Linked DNA regions of Drosophila melanogaster. Changing the gene in region 2 together with the main gene of any one other region gives a genetic interaction. Each region holds a gene or a part of one and is shown on either strand. Other genes may lie near its edges.

Region 1 (9,981 bases), on a different chromosome or scaffold from region 2:
ATCGCATTGGCCAAATGGGCCTCGGAGTGGCCGTTTTGGGTGGCGTTGTCAATTCGGCATTATATAATGTGGAAGGCGGCCACCGGGCGGTCATCTTCGATCGCTTCACCGGCATCAAGGAGAACGTGGTCGGCGAGGGTACCCACTTCTTCATCCCATGGGTGCAGCGGCCCATCATCTTCGACATCCGGTCCCAGCCCCGCAACGTTCCTGTGATAACGGGCAGCAAGGATCTGCAGAATGTCAACATCACGCTCCGAATCCTGTACCGCCCCATTCCAGACCAGCTGCCCAAGATCTACACCATTCTCGGCCAGGACTACGACGAGCGTGTCCTGCCCTCCATCGCGCCTGAGGTGCTGAAGGCTGTGGTCGCCCAGTTCGACGCCGGCGAGCTGATCACCCAGCGTGAGGTGAGTAAAAACATCAGGAGAGCCCTCAGTTTCTTTAGGATAAAGCTTTTTTGATGGGCCTTGTGTTTCACCAGAGGCGCTTATGTTTACTTAGTATCAGGTCATCAGATCTCATCGTATTTCACGCGTATTTTATTTTCGATTTAAATTTGATTGTGTAAGCAAGAACGCGATCTCGGCGCTTAAGTCTAGGCTTATTGCTCTTTTGAGAATTGAAGCTTAAGAATTGGATTATTATTCAACTTATGCAGTCGGAAATATAATACTTTCATGCCCGTACTTAACGTGATTACCTCTTTGCAGATGGTGTCGCAGCGCGTTTCCCAGGAACTGACTGTACGTGCCAAGCAGTTCGGCTTTATTCTGGATGACATCTCGCTCACGCACTTGACCTTCGGTCGGGAGTTCACGCTGGCCGTCGAGATGAAGCAGGTGGCCCAGCAGGAGGCGGAGAAGGCGCGTTTTGTCGTGGAGAAGGCCGAGCAACAGAAGCTGGCGTCCATCATTTCGGCGGAGGGTGATGCCGAAGCCGCTGGCCTGTTGGCCAAGTCATTCGGCGAGGCCGGAGACGGTCTGGTGGAGCTGCGACGTATTGAGGCCGCCGAGGATATCGCCTACCAGCTATCCCGGTCCCGTGGTGTCGCCTACTTGCCCAGCGGACAGAGCACGCTGCTCAATCTGCCATCGACCATCGCGCAGTAGCTGGGTGCATCTAGTTCCGTTAAGTTGTAACTACCTATAGCATTTACTAAGTACTTTTCGATTTTGTTTCTGCTGAAATATGCACTACTCTAAAGCGTTCGCGCCCGACTGACTGGAGAATACTAAGCGAAACAACCAAAATTTGTCTCATGTAATCGGTTTTTCCATTATCTTCCCGATCGGGTTCGAAATCCGGTCGCAGTGTGCGCTCCGAATGCGGCTCAACTTTTGTTGTTTCCGTTTGAGTCGTTCGTGTGCGCGTCCTGCTGAATTGGTCCTTAAGATCGGCACCGGGCTTAAAACAACTCCAGTAATTGAAAGAAACACAGACCGTAAGAAAATTTCATTATGTGAACAAACAATAAATGATAATCCCTACATGAGTGGGCTTTTAAATTGAGTGTGGTTATGGTTATGCAGGAAATGTTATTTAATTTATGAACTTTTACTTTCTTTTTACTTTACTTTTACTTTCCCAATTAATTACAGATCGATCCTAAAACGAATCTAATCACTTGCCCATATCATATAGATTTAGACAAAATACGTGACCTATTGAAGCTCAGCGATGTGATGTGTACACCAAACACCCGCTCGCTTATCTCGGCCCTTGTTTACCCCATATGATGCCTGTTTATGCAATCCCCCTCTCAAAGGCGCCATTCGACCCCTATAAGCGGAGAATACTTTCGCATTCATTCGCAACTCAAGATGGTCATAAATCAAATTGTAGTATTCTTCGCCTCAATCGACCCGAACTCCAGCCACCCGTAAAGCAGCATAATGTGGGTGGGTAGTTGGGCGACTGGTGGCTGGTGGCTGTTGGCTGGCGTGTGGGTGGAGCACCCAGCGCATTAAAATCGAAAGCAGAGCCGTTGGCATGGCGTATAAATCTGTTGATTCAGCCAAGTGATTTGCCAAAGTGGCTTCGTTGAAATGTCAGGCACACGCACTTTGCTCGCACTCAGCAACAGTTGGACCACCCGCAGGATTCTCAGCAGCCCTACACTGAAAGAAATTATTTTCTTTTGTCGTAGGCTAAAAGTGTTTACTTGATTCTTTTAAATAGTAATTAAAGGAAGATAATGATTTTCCTGTCGTATTCCAATATCATTAGCCGAGCCGATATACCCATGTTTGTCTGTCCGTATAAACTTCGAGATTTTGGGAACTTTAAAAAAAAAAAACGGTCACGAAAACAGTTTTGAAAAATATTTTGAATTTTTGTATTATATCTCTCGATATATTTGGCATAAACATTTAAGCCACATATTTATTGTTTCTTGCCAATTTCTATTGATATTTCAACTGAATTTTGAAATTCCGGCCAAGTAACTGGCATCCAAAAGTCGTTAGCTTTCTATAGTAATTTTGAATTTTTCTCAGTGTATGCGGAACTGCCCGCTCAAAAGGCTCAACCTAGCCCACTTCCCCTAGCACAATGCGAAAGTGAGTGAGAGCATTGGATTATTTGACGTCACAATTCCATGAGCGGTTCAAAAAGCACGTCATATGTGGTGCTCTAATAACCGGTTTCCAAGATGCGCGTAAAGCGTGCCATTCCACGGCTTAATCAATTTCTTGTCTTTCCTACGAATATAACTTTGTTTACATTTTTTTGCGTGATTTTTTCTTCGGGGAGTCCAAGAAAAACCCTGTTTCGAGTGACTCATAATTGGGGGATTCCTGACGAGATCGCTCTCTTTCCACAAATTCGAGTTGGGAAGCACGTGAGTAGAATTCAAAATGTTTTGCTTGCTGTTTTAAATATCACTAGGTTCTCAAACTAATTTCAAAAATAATCAAATTAAGTTCACAGAGCTGGCAAATAAAATGTAATAGCTTGCATGTATGTATATATATATATTTTTTTAAATTCTAAATAAATCCATGGAAAATAAAGCCTTTGATATCCAGTTACTGATTCAGCGCCCAATTAATGCATGTTCCAAAAAAGTGTCAAAAAACGTGCACAAATCAAACGAGAGCTGAATTTGTTTTTACGACAGCGGCTGCGATTCGAAGTTCAGCGGCTGCGGACTGCGATTGAACCGGTCCTGCGGAATTGGCAGCGCTGCTGGACGGGCTTTAAAAGCCATGGCCAAGAGCGGGCAGCGCTCAGTTAAGAGGAGAACGCCAAGCGCACAGCAATCAGCACCGAAATATCAGCATCGAAATATCAGCAAATAAATATTAGCTGTTCTAAACCAGGAGGGCAAACTGAACTTGGAGCAAAGATTTAGTTCGGAACGGAAGTAAAGCTCGGCAACAAGTGCAAACAATTAAAAGCAGTTAACTAAAGTGCAACGGTGAGAGACGAAAGTGTGGCTCCTCAACAGCCTCAGCTGCCTGAAGTGCTTGGCCAACATAATGAGTGCATGTGCATGCGAAAGATTCATTTCGGGGCTAACGCTGCGTATACGTAATGTGTATCTAAAACTGGGCATATACTATAGCCTTGCTTCGGTTCAATTTGATAGTTCGGGCCCCGAATTCTATAGTGCTTAAGCTTTTCTCGGCTTTCGGTATCTGCATGCTTTTGTGTATCTATTAAAATAAGATTTTAGCTGGCAACAAGTCGTCGTCTCAATGCCAACTTGTTTACGTTGTTAAAATTGGAATTTAGAAAAAAAAAAAAAATAAAGCAGTCTTGATTAATGCAAGAATGCATTAAACATTCTAATTACCATACTAATTCACAGCCTATACTTAAGCAGCGCACTCGATGGGAAAACGCTTTAAACTATTAATACCTTAATACCTTATTATTATAACTATTATCATCATCGTTTTGCCTATCAAGTAATTAGTATTCAATGTCGTTCATTTGTCGTGTTTGCAGCGATAGCATTTTTTGTTTGAGCTGCTGCACTGATTAGCACTATCTTCAAAAACGCACTTCTATTAATAACACTTTCAATAATCGCACATTCTTTCATATTAGCTCTAACCATTCGAGTTCATATCATTGCAAAAGTCAAACGAAAAGTAAATCTCTGAAATGAGCCACATACCCATTAGTAACACAATTCCAACAAAACAAACTGATGGTAATGGTAAAGCTAACATTTCGCCGGATAAGCTGGATCCCAAGGTTTCGGTATGTCTATTGGGTTTAGGTATAGAGCCAACAATTATGCACGTCTGATAACCAAATACTTTTGCATCCACATCAAGATCGACATGGAGGCGCCGGAGTTCAAGGATTTTGCCAAGACAATGGTCGACTTTATAGCCGAATATCTGGAGAATATACGCGAAAGGTGAGCCAGATTAAGACTCCCTACTCAATTAGCTTGAATTAAACTTAATTTAGCGTATGAATTTCATTTATATGGTATCAGAATCAGTCGCTTGACCTCAGCATTTTACGTTCGAATCGAAAGTTCGTTCTGCTCGATTCGAATCCCCGGGCAAGTGAATGACATTTCGCACACGTTTTGAGATTAGTCACGGGAAAGTCGCACCGATCGGACATTTCCATTGCTATATATATCTATATATATATATCATTTTGTTTAGGGGGTTGAGGCGACCTTCCCATTAGCTCGAGGGCCAAGTACTTTCGCTGCTCTTGGGCCGAAAACTAATTAATTAAATGGCTTTGTTGAGTTGGCGTGTCAAGGTCGTTTTTCATGTATACGAGTATAGATATAATTGCACTGCTAACGCCTTGGCCAAAAGCAATTCGGGTATTTCACTATTCTTGGGCAATTCTTCTAACGGCTTCGTTTCCATTACCTTGAAAATCAAAGTCAGCTAAGTAAACAATTTTCTTACTACAGCTGCTGAGTTTGTTTGCCCATCGACAGTCGCTGAAATTAATGGTTAATTGAAAATCAAGCTTAAGTAGAGCGTAATATAATAATTCATTTTGCTTTATTAAAGTTCCTTCGACATTGAAGTTTCAAAACTATTTTCTTAGTTAGATAACTTTTTAAACGAATCTTTGTTAATTGAAGATACATATATATAGAGAAATTATCTTTTTATTTTCTTTTTTCACCTCTTAGTAGTACTTCCTTTTAATTGAAAGGATAGAAAATCCCACCATCATTATCAGCATTGCCTCTCTATCTATATTCTGTTCCCATAGCAATTTGCTACATATTCGTATTGATTTTCATGGCAGTGGCAACAAGTTGGGGGTGGTTGGATGGGTGTCCTTCAACCCCAATGATTCCTGATGCCTTTGTTGGCTAACTGAGTTTCGCAGCCAATTAGCAAGGAGCTTTTACTGAATGGGCGCCAAAATGCAATCAGAAGCTAACGCAATTTTCGCAATTACAGGCGCGTTCTGCCGGAAGTGAAGCCTGGCTACCTGAAGCCATTGATTCCGGATGCTGCGCCCGAGAAGCCGGAGAAGTGGCAGGATGTGATGCAGGACATCGAGCGAGTCATCATGCCGGGCGTGACACACTGGCACAGTCCCAAGTTTCATGCCTACTTCCCCACGGCCAACTCGTATCCAGCGATCGTTGCGGACATGCTGAGTGGAGCGATTGCCTGCATCGGATTCACGTGGATCGCCAGTCCCGCGTGCACGGAACTCGAGGTGGTCATGATGGATTGGCTGGGCAAGATGCTGGAGCTGCCGGCAGAGTTCCTGGCCTGTTCGGGCGGCAAGGGTGGCGGTGTCATCCAGGGCACGGCCAGTGAGTCCACACTGGTGGCTCTGCTGGGAGCCAAGGCCAAGAAGTTGAAGGAGGTGAAGGAGCTCCATCCGGAGTGGGATGAGCACACCATCTTGGGCAAGTTGGTGGGCTACTGCTCGGACCAGGCTCACTCATCCGTGGAGCGGGCTGGTCTTCTGGGCGGAGTAAAGCTCCGTTCCGTGCAGTCCGAGAATCACAGAATGCGTGGTGCTGCCCTGGAAAAGGCCATCGAACAGGATGTGGCCGAGGGTTTGATTCCCTTCTACGCGGTGGTCACCCTGGGCACCACCAACTCCTGCGCCTTCGACTACTTGGATGAGTGTGGACCGGTGGGAAACAAGCACAATTTGTGGATCCATGTGGACGCTGCCTATGCCGGATCCGCTTTCATTTGCCCCGAGTATCGCCACCTGATGAAGGGCATCGAATCAGCAGACTCTTTCAATTTCAATCCACACAAATGGATGCTGGTGAACTTTGACTGCTCGGCCATGTGGCTGAAGGATCCCAGTTGGGTGGTCAACGCGTTCAATGTGGACCCTCTTTACCTGAAGCACGACATGCAGGGATCAGCTCCGGACTATCGTCACTGGCAAATCCCACTTGGACGGCGATTCAGGGCACTGAAGCTCTGGTTCGTCCTCCGGCTGTACGGTGTCGAGAATCTCCAGGCCCACATCCGCAGACACTGCAACTTTGCCAAGCAGTTCGGGGATCTCTGCGTGGCGGACTCCAGATTTGAACTGGCCGCCGAGATCAATATGGGATTGGTCTGCTTCCGGCTGAAGGGCAGCAACGAGCGGAACGAAGCTCTTCTCAAGCGAATCAATGGACGCGGCCACATCCACTTGGTTCCCGCCAAGATCAAGGATGTCTACTTCCTGCGCATGGCCATTTGCTCGCGATTCACCCAGTCCGAGGACATGGAGTACTCGTGGAAGGAGGTCAGCGCCGCTGCCGACGAGATGGAACAGGAGCAGTAAAGTGGTTGTGCAGGTCTGTTCCGTGTTTAGTATATAAATTAATATAGTAAACTTAAATTGGACCAGTATGATATATAATGCATTGTGACTTGGAACCCGGAACAGACCATACACTTTCCACTTGCGACATGTTTAGGGAATTTACATCGCAACAAAAGATGGTTCGTCCATCGCTACATTATATTTATAGTATCCTATCATTGTATCATTGATGTTGTTCATGATTTTTATTGTTAACGTTATGCGCCTAATTAAAACAAATGTATTCTGCTTAAAAATACAAACGAATTGTAACTATAAATTTTGACTAGTTTTCGTGTTGATATACACTGTACAATTTAGCAGCCCATTCGGATTTCCCATTGCACTTAACCGCAGTGCACGCTTTTCAGATAGTAGTCAATAATGCGTTGGGCTTCTCGGATGCCACTGGACCTGGCGGCATCAATGGTTCCAAAGCCTCTCAACGAGGTTGCATCCCCAGCAAAGAGCAGACCGGGCGACTTCTCGCCCAGCGGAGCGGCCAGTCGCTGGACATCCCGGGCACTGCTGTTGGTGGAGAAGTAAGGACGACCGCCGAGGTAGCAGGCCGACGTACTCCAGTTGGAACGCAGCAGTTCCTGTGGGTACGGCACCAGGTGACTGCTCACGCAGCGCCTTAGCAGACCAGTTATCTGCTCCAGCAGCTCCTCATCGGGCAGCTTCTCGATCTCCTCGTAGTATCCGCCACCCACATGCACCTCCAGCACATGCTGACTGCTGGGCACCTGGCTGATCTCCACGACCTGCTGCGTCCAGTTGCGTTCGGGTTGCTGCTCCACGGAAGGATTCAGAAGCGTTCCCAGTGGCCGCAGGCTTCCCTTTAGCCAACGCCCAATGGGCTTCTTGTAGGAGAGATATATCTTGAGGGGATTGCCAAAGCCGAGGTTGCGTATAGCCAGCATCTTGTCCAGCGGCAGCGTGGGTCGAAACAGAACGCCCGCAAAGCTTTTGAGCACGCCCAGCGGCAGGGTGCATATTATGTGATCGGCGTTGTAAAGACTGCCATCCAGGCAACCCACACTTTTCATCGGCGCTGGTGTCCACTGTATCTGGCCCACAGGCTTTCCGGTCTGCAGCTGCGCTTTGTCCATGTTCTGAATGAGATCGTCCACTACATTATCTAGACCAGTGGGCACATACAGCGGGCGCTGTTCCTGCTGCACTGGACACTTGGTTATGTGTTCGATGTTCACGTACTCCAGGCAGCATCCCAATATGCTGCCGAACTCCTTGAACAGCGATTGGAAGATCTCGCGTGCCGCCAGTTGATCCTTAGGATGCTGGAAGGAGACGCCAATGATGCGATCGCTTTCTGTTCTAAAGTAGTTCATGACATTGTCCAGCGAGTGCAGGTCACCACCCGTTTTAACTCGTTCGGAGACCTTGAAGCCTCGGCAAAGCTGCCGAAATAGCGTGTCGATAAGCTCGACCATGGCTGGATTGATGCGGCTTCCATCCTGAAGATAGGTGGCCCGATCCGGCTGCTTTATCTGCTTCCCCAAGCCTTCCGTGTTGCGTAGCAGTTCATACATCGAATCCTGCGATCCATCGATCTTTACCCACTTGGCGCCTAGTTCACAGTAGGTGTCACCAAAGCGCTGGGTGTTAATCCTGCCGCCATAACGATCTGTGGCCTCCAGGATCACAGTGCGCCGAAAGCCGTGCGACAAGAGGTGCTGGGCCGCCGAGAGACCGGCGAGTCCTGCGCCCACGACCACTATCTGGGTATTTTGGCGCGCCGCCTCCAGATCTGGACTGCGTTGCTTGTCGCCGATGTTATCCGCCTGTAGAACCCGTGCATTGTATAAGCTGCGCCTGCTGGCCAGTTTAAAACTGCGGGGAACAAGAGAAGGTTTAGTTTGCACATTCAAATCCGCTGGAGCTGTTCAACTTACCATTGCATGGCAAGCGGGCCTAGTTTCCTGGAGTTCCGAAAGTAAATCAAGTTATTTTTAGAATTTTGCCAGATTTTTTAATATTTGTTGACAGGCTGAGAGGCGTATAGGCCTTTAAAGTGCCACACGTCCAAGTTGTTTTTAAAAAGCAGAATCATAGTATCCACCACAATGGTCGCCGGTTATCCAATTGCAGTTTGGGTGTCTAATTCCAAACTTGGCTGAAAGGGTTATAGTAATTCTTATGTATTTGTATGTTACATATATGATTATTTACCTCACGGAAATCTGAGAATTCGTACAAAGGCGAGCCGCGGCTGCTTCTATTCTATATTTATGAGAAATGGCACTAAACGCTATTCAAAGCTAATCAAAATATTGAATTAAGGGAAACAGATATTTTTGTTTTGTTTATACTTTGTTATTTAACCGATATCAGGTGGTCCAATTGGGAGAAACAGCTGTTTGCCTGCGGATGCGACACTGACGATAGACCTTGGCGAACTTATCGAAGGGCGATGAAGAAGTGTATCGATTCATAACCAAATGCAGTCACACTAAGCCGCGAAAATTTTGGTTTTAAATTTTAAAATAAAGTCGACGATATTTGTAATGCTTAAAAAACTAAAGCCTCGGCAGAAAGTTTAACAGAGAATGTTGGGAACTTTTTCGACAAAAAAAAATGACAGGGAAAAACCACTCTACCTTTATAGAAAACGTGCCAAATGATCGTACATTTAATTTCACTTTATTTATAAACATGTGGAAAGTTAAAAACTACATCGCAAACTAACTAGGTTGTCCCTAAACATAAATAGTTTATCCGTTTTTCTCACTGAGATTTCTCGTGCGTTGCATTTTCGGTGCTCAGATGGATCTGGAAGTGCTGCGCAAGATCGCCGACGTTTCCCGATTTGCGGGCCACCAAGGATTGCTCCGCCTGCAGGTCCGTCAGTTGAGACTCGATCTCCTGCCAGGCGAAATCAATATCGGAGGCTTTGGTGTCCATGCCGCATACGACGAATCGCAGAAACTGACGACCCGCATGCTCGGCCTTAACCATGTAGATCTTCTTTCGATCCATAAGCCGTTGCAGCAACTGGGTGGTAATCTCATTGTCACCTTTGGGCCGGAAACAAACCAGTCCCAGGGCACGAGGAGCCACCAGCTCGAATCGCGAATCCTTGAGCACAAGCTGCTCAAACTGTTTGGCCAACTCGATGTGCTTGCGCACATGGTTTCGCAATCCCTCGGCTCCCAGAGTGCGGAATGTGATCCAGACTTTTAGAGC
Region 2 (7,143 bases):
CAGGCCAAGAAGGAACTGGTGGCCAAGCTGCATCGCATAGACGCCAAGTACGCCACACTGTCTGTGCAAAACTGTCGCATCTGGCTGAAGGGCGGACGTATTCCCATCAAAATTCTGTCCGACGATGAAACGCTCTACTGCGACATGCGCTCCAGCATCGCAGCGGAGGTGGGTTCCCCTGTCTCTGTGATGAGAAAAAAACTTAACTTGGATTTTATATCACACCATTTCAGTTCATTGTGCAAGAGTGCGAGGAGGAAGTGGACCCGCAGCCCAAGGACGATTCTCTGACTTTATTTGTAAGACGGTGGTGTCCGGCTAAACTGGAGTTTGGAAAGTTCCAAGAAATCACTTTGGACCGTAAGTTAAATCTGTATATTGCCCTGTAAGCAGTAAATCGAACTCGTATCTTCTGCAGAGGACAGCGAAATCAGACTTTCATTATCACAGATCAGCGACATCCCAATAGACAAACTGAGCTATATGAAGGTTCGTAAAATTGCGTTCTACTGTGTATATTGATCTAATTGGTCTTCTCTGCAGTTGAACAGCAACTTCCCCTGCACAAGCATATCAGCGTTAAGTGTTAACGAGTCCAGCAGTTGGTACTCCGTGCCCACCACCCTGGACAAATATCCGCTTAATAGCACACAGACAGGAAACATCTACCTGTACAAGTAAGCGTGGAGCAAGTGGCAGTTCAGTTCCTAGACTAACCAATGAATTCAACAGAGATAGGACGGTACCTGCGCGAGAGCTGACGCTGGAGGAGCGACGCCTGATGAACGCCAGGGAGAAGGCACGACTGGATCGGGTGGGCTGCGTGTCCACCACGCGGTATGCGCAGCGCCGGGAACGTGCCTTGAAGATTTACCTGGACTCTCCGGAGAAGTCGAGCAACGTGACCGCCTCCGCACCGATGGACGTGCATGTCAATAATTAGTCTGGCGAGTAGAAAACAGTCGCGGCGATCATAACAAAAAAAAAAAAAGTACACCAAACCATGTATGTAAGCGACGGCAGACCATTAAATCCCAGATCCTCTTTTGATCACCGGCCACATATCTTTGTCGTCTGCAAGTGCTGCTCGTGTTTTCTATACTTCATCCGCAGCAATTGCGTTTTTTGTTGTTCTTTATTTTGTTTGACGCAAGGGAAGAGGTCAGCGAGTTGGGCAAAGTCGCCGTATACGGCATCGAATTGGTCTGGTCTTGTTGGGATTGGATCTGGGATGGACAACTGGGGTGGCCAAGTGAGCACAGCACTAAGTGACGTTTAACATAACGAAGTTATTCTTGCAACTTTCGTAATACAAGAGTTCAAAGATGAGACTGTAAAATTTAAAATAACAAAAGGCAAGAAATCTAAATTACAAATTGTATAATGTGAATGTGAACATCAAAACTAAATTAAACGTATAAAATAAACACAACTCGCAAGTGCATTTATTAGAATGAGAAGCGTATCGAAATCGAATTAAAATTGGGCGCCAGCGGAAAGTAAATAAATGAAAAATCGTTTGGCATTTATCGGCTGTTTTATAGAAAATGTTAATTTTATTTAATACCTACTACGCAGCGTTAATAACGTTTCACTTGAATTATATTTTAAGATCATTTAGCGTTAAAATTGTTACAATTTGATGACAGTTCTTGCTTTGCTTTTTCGTTGCGATGATGTTGAACAGACCGATAAACGAAGGCAGCTTATAGTAAAGGAAATAAAGAGGTAAAGTTGGCGCGGGACCGACCGACCGCCCGCCTTGTTGATGGATGGAGGATTTCTGGGGAAATGTATCCTCAAATTGTTGCCGTCTTCTCTTCTGTCCTGTTCTGTTGTCAAAAGGGTCCTCTAATACGCAACGAATTCGATAGTAAAAATCTGTGGAGCGCAGCGTTGGGCAGCGCAATTGTTCACATTGTGTTTCCGTTGATGGCTTGGCGGTGCGGATCATCATCAGCGGGCTGGTCTATGCCTTGGTCTCCACGGCCGGCGCCGTTTCCACCTTTGTCGCCGCCCCAGCTGTTGCCTTCTTGCCCTTACCCTTGCCCTTCACAGGACCCAAAGGCTGCGCGAGCAGAGTCTGCAAAAAGTTGAGATTTCATTGAGTACGCATCGTGAATACAAGGAAATTGTTGCAGCTTACCTTGAGCTCCTCCTGCGCAACACTGTACTCGCTCACATAGTTCTCCGCCTCGAATGGGATGCCGGTGACCAAGTTGACGCCGTTAGGCATGAGCAGAACCGTGTGCTTAAACTGCGCCACAATCTCGGCTGTAATGCAAGATAAGGAAAAGGATTGTTTAACTTTGCTATTACTTCCGGCTAAAATTCGAACTTTATAAAGGTTGCTCAAACTAGTTTAGTCTCTAAATTAACTTTAATAAGTATAAGAAAACAGGTTAATAGATTGGATACGATTGTGACAGTGCCATGTTCAGACAGAGGCCACACTGAGGCAACTGCTGAAGACGACAATGCCTGGAATTTGTTCTGGCAAAATGTCTGGCCGCACTTAGCACCCGAAGGTGTACCAGGTCCGGAATTAAGTTCTGCCAACTCGCATAATAGGGAATAGGATTAATAATAATATGCATCACACTTACATGGCTTCTCGTACAGCACTTGGAAGGGCTCAATCATCTTGTGGCCGACGCACTCAACAACTCCCATGCGGGCCTTGGTCTCCTCCTCGAAGCTGCGGATGTTGAATGGCATGTTTCCGTACTTGGTTTTCACCTCTGCCAGCAGAGCACGGGACGCCTTCATCTTGAGCATGTAGTTCTCCTCAGACTTCTTGTAAATTGAGACCTTGGTGTCCTTTTCGCGTCCCTGCAACGAATACGAATAATGTTAGCAATAATGCTCTGGCTGCGATGATCCAGGATCCAGCTTAAATTTGGCGTTCTCAGATCTCATAATCTTGCAATCTTCGGACAACAGCCAGCCGGAACTTGGTGTCTGCACGTGCCGCATTTTAGTATAAAAAAACGCCGAGCAAACAAGTCACTCTCGCAACAAACACCGCATTCCAGCAAAGTCAGCCTCAAGCGCGTGTTTTTAATCATCGAACAAATTAGTGGAGATGTAGTGTCTATTGATGGATTACTAACCACTCCTTCGCCGGTACTGACGATAACATCGATGGCATACACCTCGTACGTTTCGAAGGTGCACTTCTCATGCTCCTTGCGCTGCGCCTCGCTGGGGTTCTGTATGATCGTCTTCTCGCCGTCAATTTTGAACTGCTTCAGCTCGTGACTGAGCATGCCCTCAATGGGCTTGCACTTATACGACTCGCTGATTTGTTGCACTGCATCGGTGAGGGAGTAGTTCTGTAAGGATACAGAATTGAAACATAAATATTAAGTATGAAATAAAATGGAAATAGTTCAAAGCAGAGATAAAGAAAACATTCCAATTCCCTTTGACTAATCTTAATCAAATATCATAGTATACTATAGATAACGCAAAATAACAATAACTGATCGGCATTATCATTGCGATTGTGGACAACTTTAAAGACCGAACATTTCAAGTATCTAAACTTGTTCAGTTCACGAAATCGACACTGTTGATCTCTGCAGACGTTGAGCTGTGCTGAGCCACGAGTTAAGGCAGCAGACAATCCGTTGCCTGCAGATTACAATTCCGACATATCTATAAACTGGAGATGTGGACAAATTTAAAGACCGAACACTTCTATGGAATGAACTTGTTCAGTTCACGAAATTGACACAGTTTCTATCCGCAGGTGTTGAGCTGATCTGTGTCAGAGTTTGAGCGCAGTCAATCCGTTGCCTGCAGAAGAAATAACCTTGTGGACAACTGACAAGAAGCCTCCAGTCCTGAATAATAGGCCAGGGCAATTACCAGCTGCCACAGCTGATCTTTGCAAGTGTTGAGATGTTCAGTCGCTGGAGAATCGCGGCAGACAATCCGTTTCTTGCAGGGATTAACGGAGGATTACCTAGAAGTAAGGGAGGACTCACATTGGCGCCGGACTTGAGCAGACGTAAGGCAGCCTGGACAGCCCAGTAGGCGGCGAGGATGACATCGGCCTGGCGACCACTGATCTTCTGATCCGCAGCAGCGCCTACCACAATTGTGTGAGCGGCCACGGCAATGAAACCATCAATGTGGGCACCCAGATCGCTGTAGAAAAGAAATGTTACGTATTTAGTGGCGGTATATGTGGAATAGGAGGTTCAACTTACATTTTGACCACATCACCGGCCTTTAACGTGTAGTCAGCATCGTTTTTGGCTGGCGAGAAGTGGCAGACACAGTTGTTGACGGACAGACAGGTGGGAAAGGCAATGCCCTTCTTCAGGTCTTTCTCCTTTTTGTATACCTGTTTGTGAAAGATCGATAAAAGCATTAGATTGCTTGTTCGTTGTACTATATATCAATGATAGTGCGCGGTGTGTCCTCAGATCTCATAATCTGTAAATCCTCGGGACCTTTTGGAGAGCACACAAGCCGGGCACGTGGAGCATTGGAGTCCCCGCGTGCGCCTGGCGACCACGAGGTGATCCCCAGCCCGCACAGCACATGGCTCGCCATCGGGAAACCCTCAAAGGTGTAAGTCTTAATCATTGGACATGAAATTGGCGCGAATGACCGCCAGGTGGCCACCACTTACTTTGCCGGTCTCCTCGGTGAGCTGATTGTCGCCCTGGGTGCAGATCTCCCGGACGGAGGCATCAACCACGCAGAGTCCAATTACCGCCTTGAGGGTTTCTAAAATTAAACGAGCAGACAGAGTCCAGAAATAGGCAGATTAACCAACGCGTGGCGCACAAGGGAAAGCGGCATTCGGTGCATTGTGTAAGCGCCACGTAGCAGCGACTCCAGGAATCGGCCAGCGTTCGCTGTTTCCGGCCAAGGAATACTCACTGTTGACGATTTCGCCGGCCAACTTATACTTGGTCACCACCAAATCCTCGGCGATGGTCTTCTCGGGCTCCTTTTCCACATCTGCCATTGTACTTGACTCTAATAATTTTAAAATGGCGACTTAATGAAAATGCGACCGACTGAAACACCACGAGGTAATGAACGTGTGGCCAGGCGCAGCGCAGGTATCGAAAGTTCCAGTGGCGTGTATGGTGGGACCGCTCATTCGCCTTGACAACCCTGGCAAATGGGCGGTAAGCTTAAGATGAGCGTGAAAGCGTAGATTGCTAGTCGTAAACACTGAATGAATTTTAAATAACACTTTGAGCTATATCAAATGAGAATATTTCATAGTTTTACATATTGTAATCCACTAATATTTCAATAAAAGTTTAAATATTAAGTTTCGGTTTTTTTCTATTACACATAAATGGTCCCTCTAAAAATAGGAAGTCAAAGAGCTCGAAATATCGATACCATCACAGTGTGACCGCTTGTGGAATACCGCATTCGGTATTTTTCTTAGCACGAATTTGGACTAAATGCATATTACAAGTCATCTTTAACAAAAAAAATTTGCATTGAACGTTAATAATAACATTTACTTGCTTAAATCCAATTCGGCTGCCGAAACAAAAGCTCAATTAATAGAAACCTAATCCTATCACCATGTCCGTGCGCGTGATCAACGACGAGTCCCACTTCCAGGCGGAGTTGGCCCAAGCGGGCATTCAATTGGTTGTGGTGGACTTCACAGCTTCGTGGTGTGGTCCCTGCAAGCGGATTGCGCCCATCTTCGAGACGTTTCCAACAAAGTACCCAAAGGCCATCTTCCTGAAAGTGGATGTGGACAAGTGCCAGGACACGGCTGCTGGACAGGGCGTTTCGGCCATGCCAACATTCATCTTCTACAGGAACAGGACCAAGATCGATCGCGTCCAGGGTGCGGACGTCAATGGGCTCGAGGCCAAGATCCAGGAGCACATCGGTACATCCGGTGGCGAGGAGGGGGGCGAGGATTACGGGCAGGGATTGGTAATATAGTGCAGTATTTGGAAATGTTCCAAAAATAATCCCTAATCCTTCTTACAGATGGAACTGAATACATTTATTTCGAAGCAGGAGTGCGAGTGCCTCAACGAAGCTGATGACCACAACTTAAAGCACGCCCTGGCCTCCGCCGGTGGCTACCTGCAGTCCGATTGCGATGAGCAGCTCATCCTGTCCATCACCTTTAATCAGGCTGTGAAGATCCACTCTTTGAAGTTCAAGGCACCTTCGCACCTGGGTCCCAAGGATGTGAAGCTGTTCATTAACCAGCCCCGCACGATTGACTTTGACATGGCCGAGTCCATGAACAGTGTGCAGGATCTAAGGTAGCTATTGCCTTCTCTATGGCTGCTTAGCTCTTCTCACTGTTCAATCCATTTTGCAGCCTGGCTCAGAAGGAGCTGGAGAGTGGAGTGCCCGTGAATCTGCGCTACGTCAAGTTCCAGAATGTGCAAAACATCCAAATCTTCGTGAAGAACAATCAGTCAGGTGGCGATGTGACGCAGATTGATTATATCGGCTTCATCGGTTCCCCCATCATGACCACCAAGATGAACGACTTCAAGCGAGTGGCTGGCAAGAAGGGCGAGAGCCACTAAGGTTCCATTGAAATTTTCAGCGTTTTTCCCCAATGACGTCCCAGCATTTCTTTTCAACTTTGGACTTACAACTAAACAATATACAACAAATGCATAAAAAATCATACAAAATAAGGATCAACAAGATAATCTAAATATCCATCGGGTTAAAGGCTGCTCTGGTAAGAGTCCAGTTCCTTGGTAAGCATTTTCCACGCACGCTCCGCCTGTTTCTGGGTGAATTCGTGATCCCATTGCGAACTGAATATCACATGCGACTTGGCCACGATCTCAGAATTGGGCACCTGACTGGCCAGTCGCTTTTGGGCCTCCACTTCGCTCAACTTGTTGCGCTCAATAATCCGCCGCACAGCCTCATCCGGTGGCACAATCATGGACCACACCTCATGGCAATTGGTCTCCCAGCCCGCTCGCAGCAGCACCGCTGCCTCCAGGACCACCACACGCGGCACGTCCGCCTGGGAACGCAGTGCATCCAGCCGCCTGTTAACCTCCGCAATAAGTTCCGGCCAGACAATGCCGTTGAGTGCTTGCAACTGCTTGGGATCGGCAAACACCAAGGGTCCCAGCTTGGACCGATCGATGCGACCATCGT

What was found.
Region 1: of Txl (region 2) and Ddc, changing one suppresses a phenotype caused by changing the other (phenotypic suppression), as found in Drosophila melanogaster (one study listed by BioGRID).

What each region holds. Positions count from the first base shown.
Region 1 is NT_033779.5:19,113,553-19,123,533, reverse strand, and holds Ddc (dopa decarboxylase), read left to right. Parts: upstream 1-3,227; 5' UTR 3,228-3,424; exon of another isoform or gene 3,425-4,059; 5' UTR 4,060-4,116; coding exon 4,117-4,215; exon of another isoform or gene 4,216-4,292; coding exon 4,293-4,378; intron 4,379-5,405; coding exon 5,406-6,753; 3' UTR 6,754-7,051; downstream 7,052-9,981. Other genes in the region: Phb1 (prohibitin 1), read left to right, coding at 1-413, 717-1,115; CG10561 (uncharacterized protein), read right to left, coding at 7,122-8,628, 8,691-8,698; amd (alpha methyl dopa-resistant), read right to left, coding at 9,523-9,981.
Region 2 is NT_037436.4:5,760,442-5,767,584, forward strand, and holds Txl (Thioredoxin-like), read left to right. Parts: upstream 1-5,404; 5' UTR 5,405-5,568; coding exon 5,569-5,934; intron 5,935-5,991; coding exon 5,992-6,275; intron 6,276-6,334; coding exon 6,335-6,548; 3' UTR 6,549-6,643; downstream 6,644-7,143. Other genes in the region: Usp47 (ubiquitin specific protease 47), read left to right, coding at 1-168, 234-360, 419-489, 544-677, 733-943; CG10576 (uncharacterized protein), read right to left, coding at 1,970-2,083, 2,147-2,274, 2,607-2,832, 3,114-3,335, 3,993-4,155, 4,218-4,354, 4,646-4,743, 4,900-4,987; Ppat-Dpck (bifunctional phosphopantetheine adenylyltransferase - Dephospho-CoA kinase), read right to left, coding at 6,695-7,143.